3 linked regions of the Saccharomyces cerevisiae S288C genome follow. Changing the gene in region 1 together with any one later gene gives a genetic interaction. Each region holds a gene or a part of one and is shown in the gene's direction. Other genes may lie near its edges.

What was found. Genes that interact genetically often act in the same process or in processes that back each other up.
Region 2: mutations in CEG1 (region 1) and SKY1 together harm fitness more than expected from each alone (negative genetic interaction), as found in Saccharomyces cerevisiae (2 studies listed by BioGRID).
Region 3: mutations in CEG1 (region 1) and RAT1 impair growth when combined (synthetic growth defect), as found in Saccharomyces cerevisiae (2 studies listed by BioGRID, with this or other methods).

The regions. Positions count from the first base shown.
Region 1 is NC_001139.9:264,509-268,089, forward strand, and holds CEG1 (mRNA guanylyltransferase), read left to right. Parts: upstream 1-1,636; coding exon 1,637-3,016; downstream 3,017-3,581. Other genes in the region: DNA-binding E3 ubiquitin-protein ligase SNT2, read right to left, coding at 1-1,351; mitochondrial 37S ribosomal protein mS29 RSM23, read right to left, coding at 3,215-3,581. UniProt on the Saccharomyces cerevisiae protein: Second step of mRNA capping. Transfer of the GMP moiety of GTP to the 5'-diphosphate terminus of RNA via a covalent enzyme-GMP reaction intermediate.
Region 2 is NC_001145.3:698,264-702,798, reverse strand, and holds SKY1 (serine/threonine protein kinase SKY1), read left to right. Parts: upstream 1-1,759; coding exon 1,760-3,988; downstream 3,989-4,535. Other genes in the region: GUA1 (GMP synthase (glutamine-hydrolyzing)), read right to left, coding at 1-1,009; GAS3 (putative 1,3-beta-glucanosyltransferase), read right to left, coding at 4,429-4,535. UniProt on the Saccharomyces cerevisiae protein: Constitutively active kinase, specifically and sequentially phosphorylates serine/arginine (SR)-type shuttling mRNA binding proteins in their RS dipeptide repeats.
Region 3 is NC_001147.6:418,083-423,337, reverse strand, and holds RAT1 (ssRNA exonuclease RAT1), read left to right. Parts: upstream 1-1,687; coding exon 1,688-4,708; downstream 4,709-5,255. Other genes in the region: phospholipid-translocating ATPase RSB1, read left to right, coding at 1-670. UniProt on the Saccharomyces cerevisiae protein: Possesses 5'->3' exoribonuclease activity. Required for the processing of nuclear mRNA, rRNA and small nucleolar RNA (snoRNA) precursors.

The DNA.
Region 1 (3,581 bases):
CTCCTACCCTAGAGGGTTTGAAAGGATATGGAAAAAACATAGAATCATTTAATGCGTCACCAATATGAGAAATGGAATATATTCCTAAGTATTGAAACCAGCAATTTTCGGTATTATAACCAACATTCTCTTTGATAGCTTTGCTAGAAATTTCTTCAATTTTTTGTCTTACAGAGCGAATAAAATCCAGTTCCAGTGCTTGTTCTTCTAGAAACCTAACATGCGAGTCCTTAGTACCTTGTTGTTTCTGTAAGCAACTGAAGCAGGTCCAAACGACGTCTTTGTTCGGCTTCCTGTCAAGTGGCGGATCCATACAGTATAGATGTGCACAAACGCCGCATTCATCACATGAAAGGCTCTCCTTTTGGATACACCATTCTTTACAGAACTGACATCTTTTATCCCATTGGTAGTCTGCAGGACTTAATTCGTTTACCTCTAGTTCATGGAAAACGTATTTCTTCAAAACGTTCTCCAATGGATACTTCGGTTCTGTATAGATATAACGAAATCTCCTATTCAAAACATAAAGAAATGGCGACTTACTGTTCCATTTATTTAATATTTTATCCGTGCTGTAAACTTTGTAATATTTCAAAGTATATCTGTCAAAAAGTTCATCAAAGTAAAAGATATTGGGTCGTATAATGCATTCCTTCTCATTAGGAAGAACATCAAAAACTTCGTCTTTATGAAATATACTACATTTTCCCCTGTATGATGAAATAGGACATATGTCCTGGTGTAATGATGCATACACCAACCTTGGGTTAAAAGTATTTACGTGCTCTTGAATATCCCTAGGACGATAAAACCAATTCATTCTAACTTGAAAAAATTTAGCAGGGAAGACCGATGTTGTCTTTATAGCTTCATGAATAGTGTTAGAAAATTCTGGTTTACTAACAAAATTTACAACTCTGCCAACATAATAAGGCTCGCCAGCAGGCTCTGATATCATATAAATAGTGTCGTTCGCAGATAAAAGGACAGATTCTGTATTGAAAAGAGACATCTTTTTCAAGTCAATCATGGCATCATCTAGATCAAGTATGTTAGAGAATCTGCTATTCTTTCTGAACGAAGGGGGTAATGTAGGGATAAAGTTCCAGCAAGTATTCTTATCATGAAGGAATTTTTGGTACTTGAATTTCTCGTTTCTACTAGCTGGATTGCTTGTCCTTTTACAATTCCTGGGAGTTTGGCTATTGCTACCCTTGGTCTTAGCACCACTTTTTTCCGCTATTTGTATTTGTTGAACTAATTTAGTATCTATTTCCATTTCATTATAATTCACGTTTTTAGCAGCCTCTCTTCTTCTAGGTAATTGGAAATCTTCTTCTTTAGGCATAGCGTGACCAGCTGAAAGGCAGATGATCTCAATATGTCCCGATAGGCCAATTTTGCCACCAGATAGTTCGATGGCATTTTATTTTTAGTCCTTTTGAAAGCAATATCATAAAATATATATAGTTCTCCATGATGTTCGGGTCAGTCGCTCCGAAGCGTAACCTAGTATAATAAATAGTTCATTGCAGAAAATAACGAAAGAAATGGTGGAATACGATCTGTTATATCTAAACTAAAGCTAACTAACGGAATAAGCAAATACGAATCGACCGCTAATTTAACAAATATGGTTTTAGCAATGGAAAGTAGAGTGGCACCGGAAATTCCTGGGCTCATTCAACCTGGGAATGTCACGCAAGACTTGAAGATGATGGTCTGTAAATTATTGAATTCCCCAAAACCTACGAAAACATTCCCTGGTTCCCAGCCTGTGTCCTTTCAGCATTCTGATGTGGAAGAGAAGCTGCTTGCGCATGATTACTACGTTTGTGAGAAAACAGATGGTCTGCGGGTGTTGATGTTTATAGTGATAAATCCTGTGACGGGTGAGCAAGGATGCTTTATGATTGATAGGGAAAATAACTATTATCTGGTTAATGGATTTAGGTTTCCCAGATTACCCCAAAAGAAGAAAGAAGAGCTGCTAGAGACTCTTCAAGATGGCACCTTATTAGATGGTGAACTTGTCATACAAACTAACCCAATGACAAAATTACAAGAGTTGCGTTATTTAATGTTCGATTGTCTTGCTATCAATGGTAGATGTCTCACACAATCACCAACAAGTTCTAGACTAGCCCACCTTGGAAAAGAATTTTTTAAACCATACTTCGATTTAAGAGCAGCGTACCCTAATCGTTGTACTACTTTTCCGTTCAAAATTTCCATGAAACATATGGATTTCAGTTACCAATTAGTAAAAGTTGCTAAAAGTTTAGATAAACTACCACATCTTTCTGATGGTCTGATATTTACTCCTGTGAAGGCACCTTACACTGCCGGCGGAAAAGATTCATTGTTATTAAAATGGAAGCCAGAACAAGAAAACACCGTGGACTTCAAATTGATTTTAGATATCCCAATGGTGGAGGATCCTTCTTTGCCTAAAGATGATCGGAACAGGTGGTATTACAATTATGACGTTAAGCCAGTTTTCAGCTTATATGTCTGGCAAGGCGGAGCTGATGTCAATTCACGTTTAAAACATTTCGACCAGCCTTTCGATAGGAAGGAATTTGAAATATTAGAAAGAACATACAGAAAATTTGCAGAGTTGAGCGTTTCAGATGAGGAATGGCAAAATTTGAAGAACCTAGAACAGCCATTAAATGGTAGAATAGTAGAGTGCGCAAAAAACCAAGAGACTGGGGCGTGGGAAATGTTAAGATTCAGGGATGATAAGTTAAATGGTAATCATACATCGGTGGTCCAGAAAGTTTTGGAGAGTATCAACGATTCAGTTTCATTGGAGGACCTCGAGGAAATTGTTGGTGATATTAAAAGGTGCTGGGACGAGAGAAGAGCAAATATGGCTGGTGGTAGTGGGAGACCACTACCGTCTCAAAGTCAAAATGCGACATTATCTACCTCTAAGCCAGTCCATTCACAGCCCCCAAGTAATGATAAGGAGCCAAAATATGTAGACGAGGATGATTGGTCGGATTAGGCTAAGAAGTGTTCGTATCGACATATATCGGTGTAAGAATTTTGTGTATGAATAAGATAGAAAAGCAAAAGCAATTGCTTTTGCTAAATTAATTCAGTTAGTTATCTATTTATATGTACATGAGAAATGGGAGAATTTTGAGAAGCGAGGGTGAAAGTGTTATATACGCATATACATGTATATATATGCGCATGCTTATCACCTATGGGAAAGGACTAAACTTTTCAATAATTCTCTTGGGTTACCGTTACCACTTAGGAAATATTTTTCGTCAATCAAGTTCTCCCACTTTTTTCCTGTGATATCCTTGTCTAATAAAACATTTGATTGTTTGTAGTAATCGATTAGTTCGTTAACTTCCTGTTTGTTCAGTTTAGGAACCTCGAATTCGGTGACATTACCTTTTTGGAGCAATTCTACGAACTTCGGTTCATAGTGATATCTAGTAACATAGGGGTCTACTGGGATCTTGCCCAATGCCACGGGTAAAGTTTTGTTTGTCCTGTCAACGCCGGATATAGCTAATATAGTAGAACTCTCACCATTAGCAAATTTCGTCTCTCCT
Region 2 (4,535 bases), on another chromosome or scaffold:
TACCTTGTAACAGGAATTGAATCTCCTTACCATCTTTTGGCTTAATTTTTTCAGCTTCTCTTTCAAAGACGTGGATAAATGTGTTACCAATAATCTTTCTCTTCTTTTCTGGGTCAGTGACACCCTTCAATTTACTTAAAAATTCTTCGGAAGCATCGACAACCATCAAGTTGATACCTAAACCTTCGACAAGGGTCTTTTTAACGTTAGCAGCTTCATTTAATCTCAAAACACCGTTATCGACCAAGATGGCATGGAATCTATCACCGATGGCTTCTGTCATCAATTTGGATGCAACAGTAGAATCAACACCACCGGAAACAGCACCAATGACTTCAGCAGTTGGACCGACCAGTTTTCTGATTCTGTTTATTTCAGTGTCGATAAAGTTTTCCATAGTCCAGTTTTGCTTAGCGTGACACAAATCAACGGCGAAGTTTTTCAAAAGAGTCTTACCTTGGGTAGAATGTGTAACTTCTGGGTGGAATTGAATACCATAGATTGGCTTAGTTTCGTGGACAATACCACAGTATGGGGAGTTATCGGAGGTGGCAATGGTCTTGTAACCAGTTGGCAAGCCGTGCAATTTATCACCGTGAGACATCCAGACAGTAGAGTCGTTCATACCTTTGAATAGAGAGTTGGAATCGTCAATCACCTTCAAAGTGGCAGGACCGTACTCTCTCTTGTCACCACGACCAACTTGTTTACCATTAATCCAAGCCAATTCTTGCATACCGTAACAGATACCCAGGATTGGAACGTTCAAATCAAAGATAGCATGGTCTACGTGTGGAGCGTCTTCAGCGTATACGGAATATGGACCACCAGAAAGAATGACACCCTTTGGAGTCCAGCCCAACTCAGAGATCTTCTGAGTGCATGGCAACATCTCAGCATAGATGTTAAACTCTCTTAATCTTCTGGTAATCAAATGAGAGTATTGAGAACCAAAGTCTAACACTAAGATAGTGTCAAACATGTTAGAAACTTGTTCACCGGCAGCCATTGTGAATATTGATGTCGTTAGTTTATTTTAGAATATAGATATTACCTACCAAATGACCCAGGGAAGTTAAACTACAACGAACGCAAGCTAATTAGAGACTACCGTGACCGAAACTATAACTCAACTAATGTTTTATAACTGTGAAATGAAAATGAAACTGAAAAAATGATAAAAAAAAGAAATATTTTTTCTCGATGCTCATCGCCAAAGAAAAAAAAAATTTTCATTTCCTGCAAGCAAGAAAAAGAAATGACGGCATGAAAAGAGTCAAAATGTCGGGAACCGAAGCCATTGTAGGGGAGCGAGAGGATGAAAGCATATTCCTGTCACCAACGTCACGAAGAAATGAGTCGGCTACTTGACAACCTTGTTTTTTCGCTGTTAAACATAATTAAAGGTTCTATTTGGCAACACCTCATAATTATATCACTATCCACGTGATATTAAATCGTTACGGACGAGCCTATATTATTTCCGGATTTTTTTCTAATTTCTTTTTCTATTTTTCTAAATCTTATCGTCGTTATTTATTTGAAAGAGAATAAACAATGAGTGTGGGCTATGAAAGAGCTATAGAGAAGTCACAGGATATAGAGGGATCTATTTGTAGCTGGCAAGTTAATAGAGATTGGAAAACTGATTCAAAATTGTTAGATCACCTGGCGCTGAGAAATAATTGTGTTTTTTGGTATAAATAGACACCCCCTTTTGAGGTTGAAGAGATAGAGTAAAGAAGAAGTGTAGACATTAATGGGTTCATCAATTAACTATCCTGGGTTTGTGACTAAAAGCGCTCATTTGGCTGACACTAGTACGGATGCGAGCATTTCATGTGAGGAAGCAACAAGCTCGCAGGAAGCGAAGAAGAATTTCTTTCAAAGGGATTATAACATGATGAAGAAGGCGCCTGCTCCAACGAAGTCTAAACTGTCTTTGGCCTTGCAGACTTCCAAGTCATCCTCTAGTGCCAACGGTACTGTACAAGAGGATACTTCCTCGAAGACAGAAGATTTTTCTACAAAGAGCATTAAGAAAAAACCAGATAGCGGCGTTGAATCGCATGTGTCCATCCAATCGGATTCGGGGCCACAATCAGACTCAGATTTGGATTCAGATTCCTCTATCTCATCATGTGACGAAAGGAACGAAGAGTCTTTGAAAGATTACAGGCCGGGTGGGTACCACCCTGCCTTTAAGGGCGAGCCCTATAAGGATGCACGCTACATTTTAGTAAGAAAGCTGGGATGGGGCCACTTCTCCACCGTTTGGTTGGCAAAGGATATGGTAAACAACACTCACGTTGCTATGAAGATTGTTCGGGGCGACAAAGTTTACACAGAAGCTGCTGAAGACGAAATTAAGCTTTTGCAAAGAGTGAATGACGCCGATAATACAAAGGAGGATTCCATGGGGGCTAATCATATTTTGAAATTGCTAGATCATTTCAACCATAAGGGCCCCAATGGCGTCCATGTGGTTATGGTATTTGAAGTCCTCGGCGAGAACTTACTGGCTTTGATAAAGAAGTATGAACATAGGGGCATTCCATTGATTTATGTCAAGCAAATATCGAAGCAGTTACTGCTTGGTCTTGATTACATGCATAGGCGGTGTGGTATTATACACACAGATATTAAACCAGAAAACGTGTTGATGGAGATTGGAGATGTTGAGGGTATCGTTCAAATGGTCGAGGCACTGGATAAACAGAAGAGAGAGGCAAAAAGGTTGCAGAGGCACGTTTCGCGGTCTTCTGATATTACCGCGAACGATAGCAGTGATGAGAAATGGGCAGAATGCCAAACAAGTATGCCCTGCGGCTCAAGCTCAAATTCCAAATCTCGTTCTATAGAGAAGGACTTGTCAAAAAGATGCTTTAGAAGACCTAGACGTCATACAATTATCACAGGGTCGCAACCATTACCTTCCCCAATTAGTTCATCAAATTTCTTTGAAATGAGGGCGCACTTTTGTGGTAGTAGTCACAATAGCTTTTCCTCCGTATCTGGGAATAGGAACATTCCATCTTCCATCAATAATAACAGTATTAATAATGGCATAGGCATTAAGAATAGCAACAATAGTTTCTTAAATTCAGTACCACATTCTGTGACCAGGATGTTCATAAATGAAGACAGTAATGATAACAACAATAATGATAATAGTAAAAATAAAAATAACAACAATAACAACAGTAACAACAATAATAACGAGGACATAATGAACACACCTTTGCATGAAGAGCAGCTGGCAGACTCTTTATCTACATTTGATATTTCCAATATATCACAAAGCTCCGATACAAATGGTCCATATATTTCTAATACTATGGATTCAAATTCAAACGTCAGTACCGATATCAACTCCCCAGAAAATTTGATTCAGATCAAGATTGCTGATTTAGGTAATGCTTGTTGGTATGACGAACATTACACGAATTCTATACAGACAAGAGAATACAGATCACCAGAGGTGTTACTAGGCGCCCCTTGGGGTTGTGGTGCAGATATATGGTCTACTGCTTGTCTAATTTTTGAATTGATTACCGGAGATTTTCTTTTCGAACCGGACGAAGGTCATTCCTACACTAAGGATGATGACCATATTGCACAAATCATCGAGTTATTGGGAGAATTACCATCATACCTTTTGAGGAACGGCAAATATACAAGAACTTTCTTCAATTCAAGAGGGCTTTTAAGAAATATCTCGAAATTGAAATTTTGGCCCTTAGAAGATGTTTTAACTGAAAAATATAAGTTTTCTAAGGACGAAGCCAAGGAAATATCTGATTTTTTGTCGCCTATGTTACAGCTAGACCCAAGGAAAAGAGCTGATGCAGGTGGCTTGGTTAACCATCCATGGCTCAAGGATACCTTGGGTATGGAAGAGATTCGGGTACCTGATAGAGAGTTGTACGGGAGTGGTTCCGATATCCCCGGATGGTTTGAAGAAGTCCGCGATCATAAAAGACATTGATTACCTTTATACCTTTATTTTGCCCTTGCCTTTTACTTTTTTTTCTGTTTAACCTCTTTTTTGCATACTTTAGTTCTCTGCTCAGTTGTTTATTTTTCAGTAGTTTTTTTGCAATTTTTTTTTTTTTTTTTACCAAAGTAAATTTGTAACACCTAGTATAATATTCTGAAGTAACAACAAAAGATTATGCTGATTCTCCTTTCTTTTATCTTTAGCGGTTTTTGAATCCATACTCGACATTTTTTGATTTTATTTTTTGCACCCAATGGTTGTCCTGGTGAAGGATGATGGGTGTGATACCTAAGCGTTTTTGATGAAAAGTTTACTATTTAAAAACATATAAATTGTTTTACATATGTTAAGATAAAAGAACACAAAAAAATAAAACGGTTGAAAACGAAAACAAGTCCATGGATGTTTCAAAAAAATACATGAGCAGCTCAGAGTAGAGCAGAAATCAGACCTGCAAATAATGCAAGGTATCCAGACTGACTAAAGGAAACATTAACAATATTTCCGACGCCTTTACTTTTGGAGCTGCTTGAAG
Region 3 (5,255 bases), on another chromosome or scaffold:
CACAGATGGAACGTCCACAACAACCGGCAATCATGTTTTCATTGCTGGTTTGGCCATTCAAGTTGCATCGATGGCCATCTTTCTTATGTTATGGTTTCACTTCCTTTTCCGTATATATATATCGGTAAGATGGGAACACATAAATTCTAGACCTATCTCATTGAGCCTCTTAAAGATATCGCAAACAGAAGTTGATTATTTATACAGGGAAAAGTTCCATTTTTTGAGACTCGAACCTAAACGTTGGGTTTTTCATTATTTTAATCTGGCAATAACCGTTGCGGTACTAACCATTTTTACCCGTTGTTGTTACCGTTTGGCTGAATTAGTTGTCGGTTGGGATGGCTATCTGATCACACACGAGTGGTATTTTATTATCTTAGATGCATTAATGATGGCCATCGCTACGGTCACTTTGACCATCTTCCACCCTGGATTTGCGTTTAAAGGTAGAAGCACCTCGATTCCAATCACACCGGGCCATGTTGATCCTGAAACTTTACCACATACTGACGATGTTGAAGATATCTTAGATACTTCGGATTCAAAACAATTTGATATTGAAAAGGAGGAATTCCAAGCAAGCATGAAATACCCGATTAGCACCTTCAAACAATTCATGTCCAAAATAGCTAACTTGTTTTCCTCTAAAAAGAAGGCTAAACTTTAGTGATACGTAGAATTTGAATGTCAATCTGATCGTTCATATGCATTTTTCAATTCTTACTTTTTTTCTCGAAGTTCCCGACTATGTTCTGTTTATTTTTTCTCCTATTCAAAAGAACCGGACAGCATTTTTACTTCCTTATATTTCGACATCGTAATATGTACATTTTTTAGTTCACAAGTATTTTTCCCCTTTCAATGCTTTAATCAGCCTTCAACGTCATACATACTTTCTATTTTGTTCCTGTGCCATCGTATAACTTTCCTCGTTTAGTGTTTTCGCCTCAGCTTAATGTAGATCACTGTTTTGACGTTCTTCCATTTTTGGGAACGAACTAAACTAAAAAAAAGAAAACTACAGAGTTTCCCATAGAGAACAGAAAATCCGCTATCGGCAGCTTATAGGGTCATATAATTATGGCGCACATAAGGAAAATAAATTTATTTGAATCAATCAACAGACCTATCTGTTGATATATGAAAGAGAGCAGGAGCGTTAGTTTACCTCCATAAACAGTAAAATTAAAGCAAAAAAGCGTAACTGCTGATTGAAGCCTATATCACCGGGCTAAAATCTTATATCGGTTAAGAAAGTGATTAATTTATAGATATGTTCACGAAATCTTTTCTATTCAAAGATTCACGAATTTTACTCGATTTTTATAGTATACTGAAACAAGTAGTTGTAAAATCAATTCACCAAAAAAGCTTTCCCCATCTCTGATGAAAAACTACGAAAAGTTTACTATCACATAATATCGGAAGTACGTTTTTAAGGCACTGCAATGTATTTTATAATCTTGAACATTTGGAGGTATATTACCTTACTTTCTCATCAGGTTGTATATTTGAGCGTCTCGGGAATGATAAGTCGGGTAACGAGAGTATCTAGATAAGATTTTCAGCTATGGCAATAAAAAACCAAACCTCATCGATGAACCTATTACAACATAAAGACATCCCGTAATAATTAGTGAGACAGGTTCTTCAAGGAAGTGCTACAGCCAAGTTTCGTAATATAATGGGTGTTCCGTCATTTTTCAGATGGCTATCTCGAAAATATCCAAAGATCATATCCCCAGTATTGGAAGAGCAACCTCAGATAGTCGACGGTGTCATATTGCCGTTGGATTATTCCGCCTCAAATCCAAACGGTGAGTTAGACAACTTGTATTTGGATATGAATGGTATTGTTCATCCATGTTCGCACCCAGAAAACAAACCGCCTCCAGAGACTGAAGATGAAATGCTTTTGGCAGTTTTTGAATATACCAATCGTGTGTTAAATATGGCTAGACCACGCAAGGTACTTGTTATGGCTGTTGATGGTGTTGCTCCTCGTGCCAAAATGAACCAGCAGAGAGCGCGTAGATTTAGGAGTGCTAGGGATGCTCAGATTGAAAACGAAGCCAGGGAAGAAATTATGAGACAGCGAGAAGAAGTTGGTGAGATAATCGATGATGCCGTCAGGAACAAGAAAACTTGGGATTCAAATGCGATCACTCCAGGCACCCCATTTATGGATAAGCTTGCCGCGGCCCTCCGTTATTGGACAGCATTTAAACTGGCCACTGACCCTGGTTGGAAAAACCTGCAGGTGATTATCAGTGACGCCACCGTCCCAGGTGAAGGTGAGCACAAAATAATGAATTTCATTAGGTCTCAAAGAGCTGATCCTGAATATAATCCCAACACAACGCACTGTATATACGGTTTGGATGCTGATTTAATTTTTTTGGGCCTTGCCACTCATGAACCACATTTTAAAATTCTAAGAGAAGATGTTTTTGCTCAAGACAATCGGAAAAGAAATAACTTAAAAGATACTATAAATATGACTGAAGAAGAAAAACAATTTCTCCAAAAACAAAATTCCGAACAACCTTTCTTGTGGCTGCACATAAATGTTTTGAGGGAATACTTGTCCGCTGAGTTATGGGTTCCGGGTCTTCCATTTACATTTGATTTAGAAAGGGCTATCGACGATTGGGTTTTCATGTGCTTTTTCTGTGGTAATGACTTTTTACCACATTTACCATGCTTAGATGTCAGAGAAAATAGTATTGATATTCTCTTGGATATTTGGAAGGTAGTACTACCGAAATTGAAAACGTACATGACCTGCGACGGTGTCTTGAACCTCCCTTCTGTTGAAACGCTATTGCAACACCTTGGCTCCCGTGAGGGGGATATCTTCAAAACTAGACATATTCAAGAAGCCAGAAAGAAAGAAGCTTTTGAAAGAAGGAAAGCGCAGAAAAATATGTCAAAAGGTCAAGACAGGCATCCTACAGTAGCTACGGAGCAACTGCAAATGTATGACACACAAGGAAATTTAGCAAAAGGTTCATGGAACTTGACCACCAGTGATATGGTAAGGTTGAAAAAGGAACTGATGCTTGCGAACGAGGGGAACGAAGAAGCAATCGCCAAAGTTAAGCAACAGAGTGATAAGAACAATGAACTGATGAAAGATATCAGCAAGGAAGAAATTGATGATGCTGTTAGTAAGGCTAACAAAACTAATTTTAACCTTGCAGAAGTTATGAAACAGAAAATAATAAATAAGAAACACCGTCTTGAAAAGGATAATGAAGAGGAAGAAATTGCTAAGGATAGCAAAAAAGTTAAGACAGAGAAAGCGGAATCAGAGTGCGATCTCGATGCAGAGATCAAAGATGAGATTGTGGCTGACGTAAACGACAGGGAAAACTCTGAAACTACAGAAGTATCAAGAGATTCACCAGTCCACAGCACAGTGAATGTCAGCGAAGGTCCCAAAAATGGGGTCTTTGATACAGATGAATTTGTCAAACTATTCGAACCTGGTTACCACGAAAGATATTACACAGCTAAATTTCACGTTACTCCTCAAGATATTGAACAGTTAAGAAAAGATATGGTAAAATGCTATATCGAAGGGGTCGCCTGGGTACTAATGTATTACTATCAAGGTTGTGCCTCTTGGAATTGGTTCTATCCGTACCATTATGCTCCTCTGGCAACAGATTTCCATGGGTTTTCTCACTTGGAGATAAAGTTCGAAGAAGGTACTCCATTTTTACCTTACGAACAATTGATGAGTGTTTTACCAGCTGCATCTGGCCATGCTTTGCCAAAAATTTTCCGGTCTTTGATGTCTGAACCTGACTCTGAAATCATTGATTTTTATCCTGAAGAATTTCCCATAGATATGAATGGTAAGAAGATGTCCTGGCAAGGCATAGCGTTGCTACCATTCATCGATCAGGATAGACTGTTAACAGCTGTTCGTGCACAATATCCTTTACTTTCTGATGCTGAGAGGGCAAGAAATATTCGCGGAGAACCTGTTTTATTAATAAGTAACAAGAATGCTAATTATGAGAGGTTTTCGAAGAAATTATACTCAAAGGAAAACAACAACAACAATGTTGTTGTGAAGTTTCAACACTTCAAGAGTGGTTTAAGTGGTATTGTATCAAAGGACGTTGAAGGTTTCGAATTAAATGGGAAAATTGTATGTCCGATTCAAGGTGGGTCACTGCCAAATTTATCTACCACCTTGATTTTAAAGATGTCCTATAGATTAATTCCGTTGCCATCGAGAAATAAGTCTATTATACTGAACGGGTTCATTCCGTCAGAACCGGTACTAACAGCATATGACCTTGATTCCATAATGTACAAGTATAATAACCAAAATTACTCCCGTCGCTGGAACTTTGGTAATGATTTGAAGCAAAATATTGTTCCAGTAGGACCAAAGGGTATTACTCAGTACAAACCAAGAACTGGTGGCTATCGAGCATTCTTTTATTTTGCTGAGCTCAGTAGAAATAATGTCCAACCCGCCCACAACTATGGTAGGAATAGCTACAACAGTCAACCCGGCTTCAACAATAGCAGGTATGATGGTGGAAACAATAATTACAGACAAAATTCAAATTACAGGAACAATAACTATTCCGGAAATAGAAATAGTGGACAGTACAGCGGCAACAGCTACTCTCGGAATAACAAGCAAAGTCGGTATGACAATTCAAGAGCAAATAGGCGTTAGAACTACTCGTGCGCATTTTATTTTATGGTAAATTTAGGTTTTCGCAAATTTATAAAATCTTCATACAATTAAAAAAAAGCTCTTTTAAGATAATAGTGTCTGCTCTTACAAACGACGAACAGTAATATTTTATAACAAAAAATGGAACATATTAAGTTAAGAGAAAATCATGCTGAAGCATGAATATATGAATATACGTCCTCTTGTAAAATAGCGAAATCCTTGTAAGCCAATAGACCGAACTCTATTTTGATTTATACGCTTCGTGTATTTTTTCTTCCAGATCCAGGAGAAAAAGCATGGTCTGTTCTTCTTTTTTGAAAAGAGAGGCAGTCCACGGCGAAAGTTTCGAATACGGCACTACCTTTTTTTTCTAAGTTCCTAAACTTAAAATCAAATTTGGTCTTTGGTCTGTTATCATCCAGGGATGAATGCAACATATTGGGAAGTTCATGCTATACAACGCCAACCCCTTCGCTCAAGTCACGAAAGCACATCTTACACTTCCTCCTTGGCCAATATGCAAGCGTCCTCTTCAAAAAATCTT